Coturnix japonica: one gene and its partner. The protein of the gene in region 1 interacts with the protein of each later gene in a pairwise test. Links are inferred from orthologs where the notes say so. Each region holds a gene or a part of one and is shown in the gene's direction. Other genes may lie near its edges.

What was found.
Region 2: the proteins of TXN (region 1) and FST interact in binary tests that used the Homo sapiens proteins (3 or more experiments, as listed by UniProt). The link is inferred for Coturnix japonica from reciprocal best matches to the Homo sapiens genes TXN and FST.

What each region holds. Positions count from the first base shown.
Region 1 is NC_029547.1:59,050,267-59,058,148, reverse strand, and holds TXN (thioredoxin), read left to right. Parts: upstream 1-2,778; 5' UTR 2,779-2,979; coding exon 2,980-3,003; intron 3,004-5,200; coding exon 5,201-5,305; intron 5,306-5,862; coding exon 5,863-5,922; intron 5,923-6,628; coding exon 6,629-6,694; intron 6,695-7,532; coding exon 7,533-7,595; 3' UTR 7,596-7,769; downstream 7,770-7,882. UniProt on the Homo sapiens protein: Participates in various redox reactions through the reversible oxidation of its active center dithiol to a disulfide and catalyzes dithiol-disulfide exchange reactions.
Region 2 is NC_029547.1:17,652,857-17,660,865, forward strand, and holds the start of FST (follistatin precursor), read left to right. Parts: upstream 1-2,748; coding exon 2,749-2,830; intron 2,831-4,700; coding exon 4,701-4,892; intron 4,893-5,269; coding exon 5,270-5,488; intron 5,489-5,827; coding exon 5,828-6,052; intron 6,053-7,172; coding exon 7,173-7,403; intron 7,404-7,881; coding exon of another isoform or gene 7,882-7,883; exon of another isoform or gene 7,884-8,009. UniProt on the Homo sapiens protein: Multifunctional regulatory protein whose primary function is to antagonize members of the transforming growth factor beta (TGF-beta) superfamily including activin, myostatin, GDF11 or bone morphogenetic proteins (BMPs).

The sequences.
Region 1 (7,882 bases):
TTTCAAAAAGTCTGTTTCACCAAGAATTACCTGGGATAAAGAAGAATGAACTCTGATGGAACCAGAACTAGCTTCTGCATGCAGTAACCCAATACTGTGAATCATCCCTCCTGCACTGAAGGACTGTTATGACAGATGGAGCTCAAAGTTATGAACTAAATGAATACCATGGACAATTTAAATGGGTGGCTCATAGACTACTGAAAATAAATGTGTGTGTATATATATTAAAAAAAAAAAAAAAAAAAAAAACAATAAAAAAGATAGGGAATGGTAATTAGGATGTGTAGAAATTGTGGGATCTGAGCATGATGTAAATGGTATGGAATAAAGGGTGGATATTGTCTTAGTTTCAGCTGGGACAGAGTGTCTGGAATGCTGCTGTGTTTTGGTTCTAGCAAAAAAACAATGCTAATAACACACGGATGTTTCTAGTTGCTGCTAAGCAGTGCTGTACAGAGCCAAGGCTGTTCTCAGCCAAGGGCTCCCGGTGCTCAGCCACATGATGGTTAAACCACAACATGGGGGCGCCATATGGAGGTCCTGCAAGAGATACCACACTTGCCTCTCCCATCTATGAAGATAACCCAAAGCTGAGGCTGCTGTTCCCTGTGGAGAGCACTGTGCCACCCCTCTGAGCTTAGGGACCCTGAGGTTGAATTAATCTCTGTGGCGCAGCACTGGAAGGAAAGGGGCTATGGGAACATCACATGCTGCTGATACAGCCCTGAACAGGTCTCTGGCTTCTGCATGCAAACCACATTGAACTGTACTAAAGCACCTGCGCCAGGTCATAGTCCTTGGCTTGCCCTGCACATCATGCAGAAGAAATGCCAGGAGGACTGACATCTCTTACCCTGCAGGAGATGGATGCACACAGACACAAAGGCAAAAGCCACAGGAGAGGTCAAGAATGAAGAGAAAAGCAAGGCAGATGGAAGGCTGACAAGAAAAACAAAGCAAAACAGCTATGTGAAAAGAGATGGATGTCAGGCACTCAGAAGCAAAGCTTGTACTTGTGCACCAGTTTGTAATTTGGACTGGAAGCAGAAGTGAAGAACTAGACCCACATTACCACCCATTGCTCCACAATAGAGGCTCCCTTCAAAAGGCACTGGAGAAAACATCATCCTCTGTGCAGATCAGACTTGATGTTAAGACAATGAATGGTGGGAGCCAGAGAAGCAGATAATGGAACTGCATGAGCTGGTTACTGCCACGTGTGGATTTTTGACTTCTATTACCAAGCTTTCAAAAAGCAGTTAAGCATTACTGCACCTTGAAACCTGCCTGCATCACTGTGCAATGCATCTGTGCTGAGCATGGATCCTGCACGCTGCTTTTAGCACAGAACACCAAGGGGAGTGGGCAGCTGCAGAACCCTGTGAACATCACTCATGGGATGTGCATTGGGATGGCACACAGAGGTTGTGGTGGCCCAGGGATGGTCCTGCTTCCTGCCAGCTTCCTGGAAGCACAGGGCTGATTCCTGGAAAGTACAGTATGTGGCAGTGCTCTCCCCCTCCTTTCTGTCATTGTTCAATGGCTTCTCCTCCGTCTTTCAACCAGATGTGCTCTGCCAAGTGTTCAAGAGAGGCTGGGTGATTGGGTACGTCACCAGTGAGAGCAGAGCTCTGTGTGCACTGCGCATATGGCTGGCAGACACCCAGCACACCCATCTAATTATTAAATATTTATTGCACCTTTAATGGGTCAGTTACAACAGAAGAGTGCTCCCAAGGAGCAGGCTGCAAGGAACGGGAAAGCACCATTAAAGACTGTCAGGGCCAGATGAAATGCAGCGTGGTAATGCACTGCAGATAACCCGTCTCTCCTGCGATAAAACGTGGTGCAGCTGTTGCTGCAGGCAGTTCTTCCAGCAGCTTCCTCCCTTTGGCAGCTGTCTGCACCATTGCTTAATGCCGGACGTGCCCAGCCCTCTGTGACATGGCCAGGCTTGGATCTGCTGTGAAACTGGCCCTTCTGCTGCACTGTGTGATTCTCACTGTATCCTCTGGTCACAAAGTCCAGCGCCACTTAGACACTGTATAATGCCTTGGGAGAACTGCTGGCTGACGGGCCAGGACTGGAGGGTTGTATTAATGGGGTTACATGGCAGATTGTCACCAGTGGGGTCCTGCATTGGCTCCATTTAAGGTCCAGTCTCTTCAGTGGGTTATCGGGGAGCTGAGTGCACACTGATTGTCCTCTGATGGTGCTGAACTAGGGGAAGCCGTTGGTTCCCATGCAGGAACTGGATGATCTTTGGGGTCTCTTACAAGCCAAGGGGGCTGGGAATAAAAGGAAAAGGAAGATATGGAGCATGGGCAGACAGGGGACAGACACACGGACATGGGGACAGGCAGACACGTGGCACGGCCAGCACACAGCCCGTGTCGCAGCACATGGGTGCTGGAGGCAGAAAAAAAACCCAGTTTTAAAACGATTTTAAAACAGAATCGAGAAATAAAACAGGAGGAGTCCCCCCATACGGGTTCCCACCCCCTCCCCTCCTCCAGGGCAGGATCCTGCCCGCCACTTCCTGCTCGGCGTTACGCAGCACTTTTTCTTACAGTCACACGGTTGGTTTTTTTTTTCTTTCTTTTTTTTTTTTTTTTTTTTTTTTATTTCTTTTTTTCCCCCTATTTTCCCTCCTCTCCCCCCTCTCGCTGCTCCCCCCAACCCCCGCCCTGTGAAAGAACTATAACGGCCGCTCCCCTTCCCGCCTCGTGACGTCACCCGCGCCATGGGCGGGAAGGGGCGTGGCCCGGCGATGGGCTGAGCGCTCAGTGCGCATGCGCGATGCAGCGGTGGCTATATAAGGGCAGGCCCGGGGCGGCGGCGGCAGAGCGTTGGTTTGGCGTTGCGGAGTGAGGACCGGTATAGACACAGCCGAGAGCGCAGCGGCGTGCGGGACGCGCGTGCGCGGGGACGAGCCCGTTGTCCGCCTTGTGACCGTACAGCACAGTGAGAGCCGCCATGGTGAAGAGCGTGGGCAGCCTGGTGAGTGCATGGGGCGGCACGGTGGGGTGTGGGTGAGGGGGGCTTGGTGTCGGCGCCGGGCCTTGGGCCGCGCTCCTTTGTGTGCGCTGAGCCTGAGGCCGCTCCCCAATGGCGGCTGCGCTCCGGCCGCAGGGGGCACTGCGGGAGCGGGTTAAACTGCAACACGTCGCCCTGACCCTTGGCTGTCAGCTGATGGCCGCGATCACAGAATGACCCGGGTTGGGAGGGACCTCAAGGATCATGTAGTTCCAACCCCCCTGCCTGGCAGGGCCACCAAACATACGCCTTTACTAGATCAGGTTGCCGGATCAGCACGGCCCAAGGGCGGCTCGGTGGGTGTCAGACATCGTGCTTATAGCTGGGGTCTTGTATTAAGGCTGTCCCAGCTATGCTGAGGGCGGTGGATTTCTTACGGCGTTGGTTGGTGGCCTCCATTTTGGGTTGCTGGGAATCCCTGCTGCATTGAACCTCTCCTTGCCACCTGTTTTCTCGCAGCCGGCCCTTGGAAACTGAAATCTGCTAACATAATGCTGCCTGCTGCGCCCAGCAAAGTGAGGCCGAGGCCTCAGGGAGGCACCAGATGGGTATTTGAAAAGTGTTTATGGGCTTTTCCCCTCCAGAGGACTAAGGAAAATATTGCTGAAAAAGCTGTGAGATCCTCTAACAGCTGTAGCCACGTGGACTAACAGGGGGAGGTGTCCATTCTGATAATGGAGATATTTCTGTATGAATCTTATTAATCCATACTTACTGCAGAAAGACTAGAAGTCAGAAAGGTCAGCCAGTTTTCCTGCTGTATTCCTTACTTCAGGGATATTAATGTTTTCTGAGGAAAAAATACCAACACTTACCCCTTGCTGGGTATCTCAGGGGTAACACCGTTGGACCTCGTGTCTCTTCTCAGGCTGCCTGTAGCAATTTTAGCTAATTCTAGGGATGACTCACAGGGTAACGCCTGGCTGCAGCTGGAGAGCAGTGCTCAGATCTCCAGTGGTGTATGGGTTGTGATCTGCAGGAAGTGCCATGTCCTCCCACTTTGCCCTTGTTCTGTGCAATATTGCCCTGAGATGTGTGGTCATATGATCAGCGCGTCCCAGGGATGGCCTTCCTCATGCAGGGTACAGCAATCAGTCATTTGGACTGAGGAAAATAGTCCAATTGGTGGGTGCAGGAGGTAGAATTAATATTAATAAGGCTGTTACAGCACTAAGTTGTGAGAATATATGCCAGAAATCAGGGATTTGGAGGTGGGAGTGAGTGAGGCTCTATTTAACAGCCTTATGGTTTTAAGTAACCACTGGGAGCAGATAGCATGGACTACTGTGTATGTGAACGCTGAACTTTGCTGGAGGCAGTGTTGTGCTTTAGAGACTGGGATGCAGGAATACACCCCACATTAGCACAGTGGTGGAGAAGAAGAGAGAGAGGAAGAACTTCTTGCTGCCACCCTTGCCTGTGTGTTGGATCAGCATCCTCTGCTTGCTCTGCCTGAGATACTTGTTTGTTTTTTAGCATGCAAATATTTCTTTCCTTCAGTGCCTTACACTTCTGTTGAAACATTTGCTCTTTGAAAACAGCGGCACATAAGGAGCTCTGAAATGCAAAGCGTGATGTCCAGAAATGTCTCTTGTAACAAAGTGCAACAGAGATATCTCTGTTAACCTTAAATGTTAGTTGTTACTGGCATAGACTGTGTAGCTTTGCATTGAGTACTGGAGTTACACCCCAATTTACTTGGCATAATAAAATATTTATATGATGAAGCTGTTGCTCTAGGAAACATGCTGTAGGGTAAACCACGCAACATCTTGATTCTAACCATTGCTTGGGAAAGGTATCAGACCATGAAACTGTGGAAGTTTGTCCTCAGATTCTGAGGAATCCTAGAAGAAAATGGACGACATCCTATTAAATTGGAGATTAGAACTGAATGCTAAGGACCGTCAGGATCACGTTAGAAGTGTAACATTACTCAGTTTAGCTTACGGTCTCAGTTCATGCTGAGTTCTACATAAACTTCCACAGTTCAGTGACTGAGCATTGTGATGTTTCATAATTGATACTCATAATTCATCAGAAGACAGTGGGGGATGCAGTGCTGATGGAGCTAAGGGAAAGCTGACTTGGGGGTTAGTCTTGAACCTTTTGCAAATGAGGGGGGAAATCCTTAATGTTTTGATTTCTTTTTTCTTTACAGTCCGAATTTGAGGCAGAACTGAAAGCTGCTGGTGAGAAGCTTATAGTAGTTGATTTCTCTGCCACATGGTGTGGACCATGCAAAATGATCAAGCCATTTTTCCATGTAAGTAGCTTTTGTCTTTCACAGTAACTTTAAGTATATAGAAATACTTCTGTGCAACTTCTAATATGGTGGAAACCTTCTTTGTCTATGGTGTGTTTTCCTGAAGGAGGAATCTTAGAAGGATATGATAGGTAACTATTGAATAAAGCACTTGGATACACAGCGGGGAACTAACACACTGTAGCGTTTTGTCTGTCCTGGTGTGCTGATGCATCAGTCTGTAGGGACCTAGCTGGTGCATTTCCACAAGAACTGGCAACAGTGGAGTTGAAATAATGTATATATGCTGGCTCTGATTATTTAAACTGCGTTCAGTTAAGCTGTAGCATCTTTATGTGTTGAGGGGGAAGCCATAAGGGAAGGAAAGGCCTTTCCCTTATGCTTAGGTGCTTCAGCAGACTCTTCCAGGGGATGGAGCTGGAAATTAATTTCTGGTCAGTAAAGCAGCTGCTGTAAGGTAACATGTTAAGTCTGACAGCACCAGTTTCTATGAATGCATCTTTTTGAGAACTGGCTTTCCTGGACCTGTAACTACATAATTTCATTTTTCATTCTAGAGTCTGTCTGACAAGTTTGGTGATGTGGTGTTCATTGAAATCGATGTGGATGATGCCCAGGTAAGGTCCAAAGGGATAGTAGGTTTGGAGAACCACAGAAGTGGCAATGAGTGTCCTTGGATTTATTGAAACAAAATGAGATGGGCACCACCAACTAGGCAGAAAAGAATGAATGTTTAGAGTACATGAGAAGAATGAACTGCTTTAGTTATCTGCACTGTCTTAACCCCTATGGCACACATGAGATAACTTGGGAACACTGGTGTTCTGCCCTTGAGACTTCCTCCCAAAGCCTTAATCTGTTTTGATGCAATCTCCCCTAAAACTAATAGCTTACACAAGTACAAGACTGTCTGGTCTCACCACTGCCCTTGGCACTGTTTCCTCTTTCATGTGTTGAACCATGTGTAATAAGATGTCTGCTCTATGGCAGTTTCAGTAGTGTAGAATGAGTACTTAAACAATTTCAGGCTGAAACAGCAACATTGCTGTAGTGTTCTTGAGTACTCTCCAAACACAGTGTGGATGCAGTAAACACGTGCTCTTATTGTATGAATTAGATTCTGAAGGGAGGATCTTTTAGGTTTGTTTCAGAAAGATGCTAATATTGCACTGCCTTTGCAGTGCTGGACTAGAAAAGATGTTTTTCTTCTTTTTGAACAGTGATGACTTTGTCCAACTTCCTTATCAAAAGGAAACCAGTGGGTTCTAAATTCTGGTGTCCTTCAGACATGCACAGCTGAAGACTGTTTTCTTTCTCTTCCAGGATGTTGCTACACACTGTGACGTGAAGTGCATGCCAACATTCCAGTTCTACAAGAACGGAAAGAAGGTAGGCTTCTTTTTTTATGGAACTTATTTTCCTGGAAGAGGCAGGCTAGGCCACATAGTCTGCTTTCTCTTAATAATGTATCTGGGTCACAACTGGCACTGGGACACTTCTAAGAGCAATTAAATTAATCTTAGTGCTACAGCAAATACAGCATAGACCAGATGCAACTGATGAAGCAAACTCTATTAATTAGACCTAGTGAACTAAGTCTTGCAGGTCAGTCTTATGGGCAGATCTTCATGATGAATTAGTGAGGCTAAATGTGCAAGACTGCCCTAATGCTCTGCTTTTGCTGATCTGTTAGCATTCATTCTCTGTACACAGTTCACATTCAAGCAGGGACGTGTCTATATGTGTAGAATCCCTCCTGACATCAGTTAATAATCTGAATATACTCCCATCTGAAACCACTACTTGAGTGTTTTCACACAGACTGTGAAACCTGTGGAGGGACCCCATGTAGGTTGCAGGACTGAACAGAGCCCCTTTGCATTATATGCTGTGAGCTGGATAGATGGGATACAGAGCAGGTGCAGGGACAGGCTGCTCCAAGCAGTTCTATCAGAGCTTGATAGGACAAGGTGCACAGCAACACAAAGTGGCTTTCAGCTGCTACTGCCAGGAGGTGGCCTCCAAAATCCTTCTGAGCTGCAATTATGACTTTTACACACCACTGATACAGGATTAATTGATTTTTCTCTTTTTTTGTGTGTGTCATTTTGGGCCTGAAGAAATCTTAGAGGTTACAGAGTTAAATAAACCCATATTTCTGTGTGTTATGCAACCAGATGTTACGTGGCATTGAGTGCAGCCCTTCTGAAAATTGTTCTTTTTGCAGGTGCAGGAATTCTCTGGGGCCAATAAAGAGAAGCTGGAAGAGACCATTAAAAGTCTAGTCTAATCTCCAGCCATGGAGACATTGGAGTATGGTGGGATCGGCTAACTTATAGCCCATAACTTTTCTACTTCAAAAAAAAAAAAAAAATATCCAACCATTTAACCTATCTATCTTGATGGAAACTATCCTCTGATCAATGTAAATGAGTACAATAAAATGTAAATTCTTCACCTTTGGTTACTGTCTCGTGTTTGAATAAAAACATGCGCAAGTTGTTAATGTCTCTGCAATGCTGCGTTTTGCTGTGTTAAAGGAATGCTGTCTGGATGCAAAGACTCTTGTCAAATGCA
Region 2 (8,009 bases), about 41 Mb from region 1:
GATAGGACAAAACCACACATTTTACACAAACCGAGAGCTATATCTGAACTCTCCAAACGTTTGAGATGTCAACGTATGCGGGTGTTTCAAAAAGCTTTATTATTCTAAGTTCAGGGCCAGCTGTAGAGAATGGATTCACATCCAAACACATATATTAAAATGTATACACTTCTTGGTAGAAAGAAGTTTCAGAATCCGACAGGCTGAGAACAACACTCTTTTTGTGTGCTGCCTGACAATTCATTTACAGATCAACCCTATTGTTTTTTTGGTAATTTAAATGTGATAGTTGGCAAAGGAGAAAAAGGTGGGGAAGTTCAAGAGGGAGGGACACACTGAAAAAGAAGAGAGCATTTCTGTTTGTACAATATATCCCTGACATGTCATTACACACAAACCCAAAATTTAGCTTTTGAAAAAGAAAGGGGGGAAAGAAAAACAACAAAACAAAACAATAAAAGAAACAGCAGCTGTTTCTATGTGATGTCAGAGAACAGGTGTGATACAAATCTCCATACCAGCGCAATCATATTGATCTCCCGATGATGCACGCATGAAGCACATGTGCAAACGTTATTGACCCATCCGGCATCTCATTTCCAGGAATACGGCCTGAAAATGCCTCTCTAATAGTTGAAAACATTTTCAGGATAAACACCATATGGGCCAATTTTGGGGGGAGCCGGGGGGGGGGGAGGGGAGGGAAAGAGAAAGAAAAAAGAGAAAGAAAAATACATCATAAAGTTGGAGAGGGGAGCCAAAAAATGAAAAAGAAAAAAAAAAAAAAAGAAGAGAAAAACAGGAGAAAGGTGAGCCTATGTGAAAGGTGAGCTCGGGGCGAGCGGCAGGCTCAGATCTCAGCGCAGTGCCGCCCGCACGGTGCCCAGGGCCGGATCGCGGCGCTGCGCTGCTGCCGCCGGGCGCTACGCGGGGCTCTGTCCGTCCGCTCCACGAGAAGCGGCGGCCTCGGAGGGCTCCCTCGCGGCTCCGGAGTGCTGCGATGTCAATTGTTAATGCCATCTGCCATTAGAGGGCACTACGCAACCCTGCATTCAGCGCTGCGTGCGCGGAGGGAGAGGCAGGGACAGTGAGGGAGCGGCACCAATTCGGGAGAAAGATAGATTTAAAAGGATGCGGTGCTCCCGAAGTGCTGAAAATGCCTGGGCGCCAGGCGGGACAGTGGTCGTAATGATAACAAACAACAGAAAAAGAAAAAAAAAAGAAAGAAAGAAAATAAGACAGAAGAGTAAAAAAAGAAGAAATAGGAAAAAATGAAGGATTAAAAAAAGAGAGAAAGAGAGAGAGAGAGAGAGAAATGCGACGAGGTCAATCATTTACCAGTCTGCCGCTTAATGCGTGTGACTGCAGGTGGCACCGGGGACATTGTGATTCATGCCCACTTTCAAAGCGGGACCCGGGCCCGGGCTGAGGCACCCAAACAACTGTCTTCTAATATTAGCACGGCTGTATTTCTGGATCTATTATAGTCTGTCCAGACAGATCCCATTGTAATGGGATCTTTTATTAAAAGATTAGCACTATCTCCTGCAGTTGGTGGAAAAAAATCTGTTATCGCTGAGTTATTTGCAGTTGTGGGGAGGGGGCGGGCGGCGGAGGCGGCGCGGAGGAGGGCTCGGGGAGGGCCGGGGGAGGCGCGGGCGGCCGCGCGCACCGGGCCCTGACCCGGCACTGTCCGGGCATTCCTGTCTGCATACTTCGCAGTCTGTTGTGCTTTGGTGGCTCAGAAAAGCGAAAGAATCGAAATTAAAAAGGCAGCTTTTGAATAAACAATACCATTTTCCGTTAAGTAATCGTTTTGTATAAAAGGAAATATCGCCTACTCAGTTTCATTCAGCGGTGCCAAAAATGTTATAAATGAGCGACCGCCAACTTTTCTAAGAGGAGAATAATGCCAGACTGTGCTTAATAAACTAGTGCCCTAGAAGTTCATTATCGATGTTGCAATCTTTTCTGATTCTGAAAGGAGACCGCCTACGTCGCCCCCATTCCCGTCTCGTCCTCCCAGGCTCCCAGTGAAAAAGGCCGTCACTTGGGCAGAGCCCTACGTACTAAACTTTTATTTGGTTTCTTTCCATTTATTTATTTATTTGTTTGTTTGGTGCTCGGCTGATCGCTCTCTCCCTCTCGGGTTTCTGGGGGCCGAGCCCCGGCCGCGACACCGCCGGCCGCCTCCCCGCCCGCGGCGGCCCCGCTCCGCTCCATTCCGTTCCGCTCCGCGCGGGGATGGCAGCCGCGGAGCCGCCGCGCGGGGAGAACCCCGGCCGGGAGCTGCTCCCGAGCCGCGCCGCTCCCAGCTGCGCCCCCCGCGCCGGGACCGCGCTCTGCGCCCGCGGAGGCTGCGCGATCTCCGGCCGCACCGCACCGTGCTGAGCCGAGCCGAGCCGCCGCCGCGCGGGGCTGCGCGGGTGCGCGCCCGGGGGAGCGCGCCCGCGTGTGTGCGTGCACCTCCAGCAGATAATTGGAGAGGGTTTCCAGAAGGTGGAAAATGTCACCTGATTCACACTGAACTTTTTAAATCTCCCCACCCCCGAGCAGGCACACACACACATTAGGAGACCGCCCACCGCAGACAGCTAAGACCCCCGTATAGATTTAAAGAGAGACTGCATTCAGAGCCTGACGTTCATTCAATAGAGCGATCATAAGCAGGCTGGCTGGTGCTCGCTCCGTCTCTCTACTCCCCTTCACGCTGTTCCTGTGTCTCTCTCACTCCCTGCTACGCTGAGGATGTTAAATCAGAGGATCCACCCGGGCATGCTCGTACTCCTGATGTTTCTCTACCACTTCATGGAAGATCACACAGCGCTGGGTAAGACCACAGCGTTTATTCGGAAGTGTGTTTTATTATTAGTGTTGTTACTATTACTCTTATTTTCCGTCTTTCGGGCGCTGCTTACTTCGCTGCGATGTTTGTTACACGCCTCTCTCCAAGGTCCGAACGGACAGAAGTTAGCAGCGGGCGCGGGACTGCTCGGGACAGGGCGCGGAGATGTCACGTAGGTTCCCCTTCGGTTCGGACCTTCCCTGCTCCGCATGGGCACGGAGGGCACGGGGGGATGTTTCTTGGCACTCCTCGTGATTATGCAGCGTGAATGAGGAGCAGCATCGCGGGGAACTTTCCTGCGCTCATGTCCCGAGCGAGTGCTCAAAGTTTGTTGGTAATTCTACTCAGATTTTTATCTCGCCTTCTGACAGAAGCCCCGGGCGCACAGCTGACACTTTCAGAAGCGGTGGTGGTCACTTTCCGGGCATTCCCTCAATATTGGGATTTCCTTCCCTCCCCCCACCCCCTTTGTGTGTGTGTGAATAAGTGTTGTAAATTCTCCTGCTATGAGGAGTGTGCCTAAATAAGTTTGCTTACTTAATTATTCTTTCCCATGCGAACAAAACGATCCTGAACCTGATACTGACAACTCTTAAGAGCCCTCTTTCGACACTAGGAAACAGTGATTTGCAGTTTGGGGTGTTTTTGTTTTTTTTCCACCTGATACTGATTGCGTCCCAACCTGCATGTCTGGGTTTTCATTTTTTTTTCCCATTTCTTCTCCCCCTCCCGAGTTAGAGCAATAGTTAATGTAGGCAACTGTAAGACGCAAAACTCTTTTTTCTTTCTTTTTTTTTTTTTCTTTTTTCTTCTTTTTTCTTTTCTGCAAGGGCGTTGTTTGTTCCATGTTTTGTAGCCGGGAGGGGTGAGGGGAGGATGTTCCTCGCGCCCAGCGGCGCCCCGGCGGGCCGAGCCCGGCCCTGGTGCGGTGCGCTCCGTTGGAGGAAGGAGCAGGATCGAGCCTTGGCTGGGTGGGCACCATAATCAATTGGTATCGAGTCGCTGGTGGAGTCACACTGGTTATGCACGAGAGGCTCATCCCAACCCAAACTCTCCAGCTAAAACAGGGGGAGTTGCTTGGACTCATGTTCTTGGCTTGACTCCACGAATAACAGGGATACCAGTGGGGGAAGGAAAAAAAAAAAAAAAAAAGGAAAAAAAAAACCCACTGTCCGGTTTGAGGACAGCGTGCTGCGTGCTTTCCTCTGAAACGCTCGCGGGGGAGACAGCACCTCCTACTTTTCCAGTGTGATCGATTCTGAAGAACTCCGCAGGGAGCTCTATCGGGGTGCCCTCCTGTTTCGTGTACTTTGCTGACTTTTTTTCTTGTCTTTGTTGTCGGAGCTCCGCTGAGTTGTTTTAGCGAAGGGAAGACGTTTGTTAATAGAAGAAGCGAAATGTGGAGATTTCGAAAGAGTTCGCTCACAGCGAATGTTCCCAGTCGGTGCGGATTGCAAAACGTGCTGGGGCTGGGGTGCGTGCGGCACTAACACAATGCTGCCGGGCGGCCGCGTCGGAGAGGGCAGGGGGAGGAGGGAGGAACTGCAAGCGCGATTTTCTTTTTATTCCCTTTTAAATGCACATCCTTTTCAAGCCTCTGTCACGTGCCGGCAGTGCTCCTTCTGCTCTACATATGGAGTAAAGACCTGGGAAACTGCTTCGTGCTGTTTTGATCCGGTCTTTTTCTTTCTGATTTATTTATTGTTATCTCACCCAAGCGGACCGGGCCGGATGCGGGTTGTGGAACGGGACAAATAATGCCAGCAGTCCAGTAAAAGTCAGTGCGAAGCGCGCGCGGTGCCCGTGCCGCTGGTCCCGGCACTGACCCGGCCCGGTGCGCCCCTGTCCCCCGCAGCTGGGAACTGCTGGCTCCGGCAGGCACGGAACGGCCGCTGCCAGGTCCTCTACAAGACCGACCTCAGCAAAGAGGAGTGCTGCAAGAGCGGCCGCCTGACGACTTCGTGGACGGAGGAGGACGTCAACGACAACACGCTCTTTAAGTGGATGATTTTTAATGGGGGAGCCCCTAACTGCATCCCGTGCAAAGGTGAGGGGGCCGGGAGTCGCGGGTGGCTCGGGCTTGGGGTGGCCTGATGGGGTGGCCAGATGAGGGCCTGGAGACGGCAGTGCTGTAATCGTGCTGCCCACCGCCGAGGGCTGAGGGCCATCGCAAAGCAGCGCCGGGGTAGGGGGACTGCTGCTCCTCATCCGCACAGGTCAGTGGGAGATGGGGAGGGGGCTCTTTGCACGTGGCTCTCCTGGCTCCAGGATTTCCTTCCAGGTCTGTTTCCTGCATGGTAGCAGTGTGAGGGGTGCTGTCATTTTATGCCCGGGGGTCTCCATGTCTTTTTTGCTTTGGGCGCTTTTGACACAAGTCTCTTCTGCATGTTTGGTAATAAAGTTATGCCTCTTTCCTTCCTTCAGAAACATGTGAGAACGTGGACTGTGGACCCGGGAAGAAATGTAAAATGAACAAGAAGAACAAACCTCGGTGTGTTTGTGCTCCAGATTGCTCTAATATCACCTGGAAGGGCCCCGTGTGTGGCTTAGATGGGAAAACCTACAGGAACGAGTGTGCCCTTCTCAAAGCCAGATGTAAAGAACAGCCCGAACTTGAAGTCCAGTATCAGGGCAAGTGCAAAAGTAGGTTTGCAAATCTCTTCCAATTTCCATCAAATGGCATAGGATGTGTGTGTGAGTGTAAAGAGGAGGAGCTGCATGCTTCTCCACAGTAACCAGAGTGATGTTCCAACCATGCTCATAGTCTAGGATATAGCTGGATTGATTGAGAGTTCCTCACAGTTTAGCAGCAGTTGTGTTCCTCATGCTACCCTGAGATGGAAAGGTCTCCAGCAGCCCTTAAATGAGTACCAATGCTGAAGGCTTTTGTCCGATTGTTTGTATCATTCTGTCACCAATTCACTCCTCACTGGGGCGCCCACATATTCTATTAATCATTTTTTGTTTCCATCTTTATTTCAGAGACCTGTAGGGATGTTTTATGCCCAGGCAGCTCCACATGTGTGGTGGATCAAACCAATAACGCCTACTGTGTGACATGTAATCGAATTTGCCCTGAGCCTACCTCCCCTGAACAGTATCTCTGTGGGAATGATGGCATAACTTATGCCAGTGCCTGCCACCTGAGAAAAGCGACCTGCCTGCTGGGCAGATCCATTGGATTAGCCTACGAGGGAAAATGCATCAGTAGGTATCTTGGCCAGAGGGATAAGTGCAGGGGGGAGCTTGCAAACTCATCTGTTTTATCATGTTATGTGGAAGTGGGTGGGTGGGTGAATGGATGGATGGATGGGTGGATGGATTGTTTGAAGGGGGAGGGAAGTGAGGGAAGGAGGGAGTAAGTTTGTGCTTTGGAGAAGGTAAGACTCCCAGCAGCCTTGGTTTGTTTTCCTCTCCATAAGAAACGAGAGTCAGAGTGAGCTTTGCTCCAGGAAAAACAAAACCAACAAAAAAACTGCAAAAGGGGCATAGAGGGGTTGATCCTGCTCCTCTTGCCATGACTGTGGGTGCTGACATTTGTGTCCAAGAGAGAAGTATCCACCATTAGGCCGATAATTACATGGCTACGGCATAACAAGGTCTTGATATTCAGTGGATCTGAATTCCTGGAAACAATTGTCTTCAAGTGGTCTTGGCAAAGCTTGCATTAATTTAATTGGAAACATCTGATTACTTTTTACTCTTTAAAAATATTGCAGAGTTTGGGGACAGCTATCGGGTGAAGATAGTAAAATAACCTCTGTGCATCCTGACATTTTGCACTGTGATTTTGAGAAAGAGGAGATAGTGAAATATGTTGCAAGGAAGCAACTTTAGGGCAACCTCTGCCCTTCCAAATTGCTGCTGAGATGCTGGAGAATCTCAGGCTGCTTTTGGTTGGCACAGCTTGAGGTGAATTCCCTTAACAATCCTGTAGACAGCAGCTTTATGTGGGTTAGTTTAAAAGTAATTGATTTAGAAATGCTGAATGCGTTGACAAATTCTCCACTTATCACTAATTTGGTGAGCTGAATGTCCACTGACAGGAAATGGAGCAGAAAGGTCATGTGCAATAGGCAAATGTAATTCCATACTGCTAGGGCCAAGGTCCACTGGCACACCTGTCCTTTCTCCCTACTGTACAGATAGGCAGTGGTATCCAAGGGTCTACTTGATTAAGACCATCAAGAATCATCCCAGCTACTGCATTTTAGCTTTGACTATTCATAGTTCATTGGGGAAAATTGAGTTTGGGGCTGTTAGGGGTTGCTTTTTTTTGTTTCCTTTGTCTGTTCACTTACCTCTAGTATTCCGTGTGTATTTTTAGAAGCGAAGTCCTGTGAAGATATTCAATGCAGTGCTGGGAAGAAATGCTTGTGGGATTTTAAGGTTGGCAGAGGTCGATGTGCCCTCTGTGATGAGCTCTGCCCTGAAAGCAAGTCAGACGAGGCAGTCTGTGCCAGTGATAACACGACTTACCCGAGCGAGTGTGCCATGAAGGAGGCAGCCTGCTCCATGGGCGTGCTTCTAGAAGTAAAGCACTCTGGATCTTGCAACTGTAAGTGAGATTTTTATCTCTGTAGACACCTAAGGCTTCTGAAGGCAATCCCTATTTAATAAATACTCACATCGTTAAACCTAAGAAAGCTCCATTTAGAGATTCAGGATGTTGCACATGTGCCATGTGAGTATGGGTGTATCATGCGCACACTTTGGTTACTGATAAAAAGCAGTAGATCTCCAACAACCAGTGTGCTTTTAAGTTGGGGTGTTGGGTCTTACTGAGGACAAGTCATTTTATCAGAAAGGGGTTGCCCTAGGAGCATAATGCTAGAGATTTTTTTCCTAATTTGTCTGCTCTCGTGTGCTTTGCTGATTGCTTTATTAACACTCGGTAAACTCTTAACTGTCCAAAAGAATGAGCCTGGTGGTAGCACATGGGCACCTGGTTTAGCACAGTTACCTCTACTAACTCTGAATGAAGGACACAAAGTAGTTAAACCTAGAACACAAGAGCGCTTTTTATTTGATTTCAGGAATCTGCCAATAAAACCTGAGCCATTGATTCTTCAGAACTTTCTGCAGTTATGACTTCATAGATTATGTATAAAAACCCTTATTGCATAACAGCAGATGCCAAAGAGCATCTCACTACAAGTCGCAT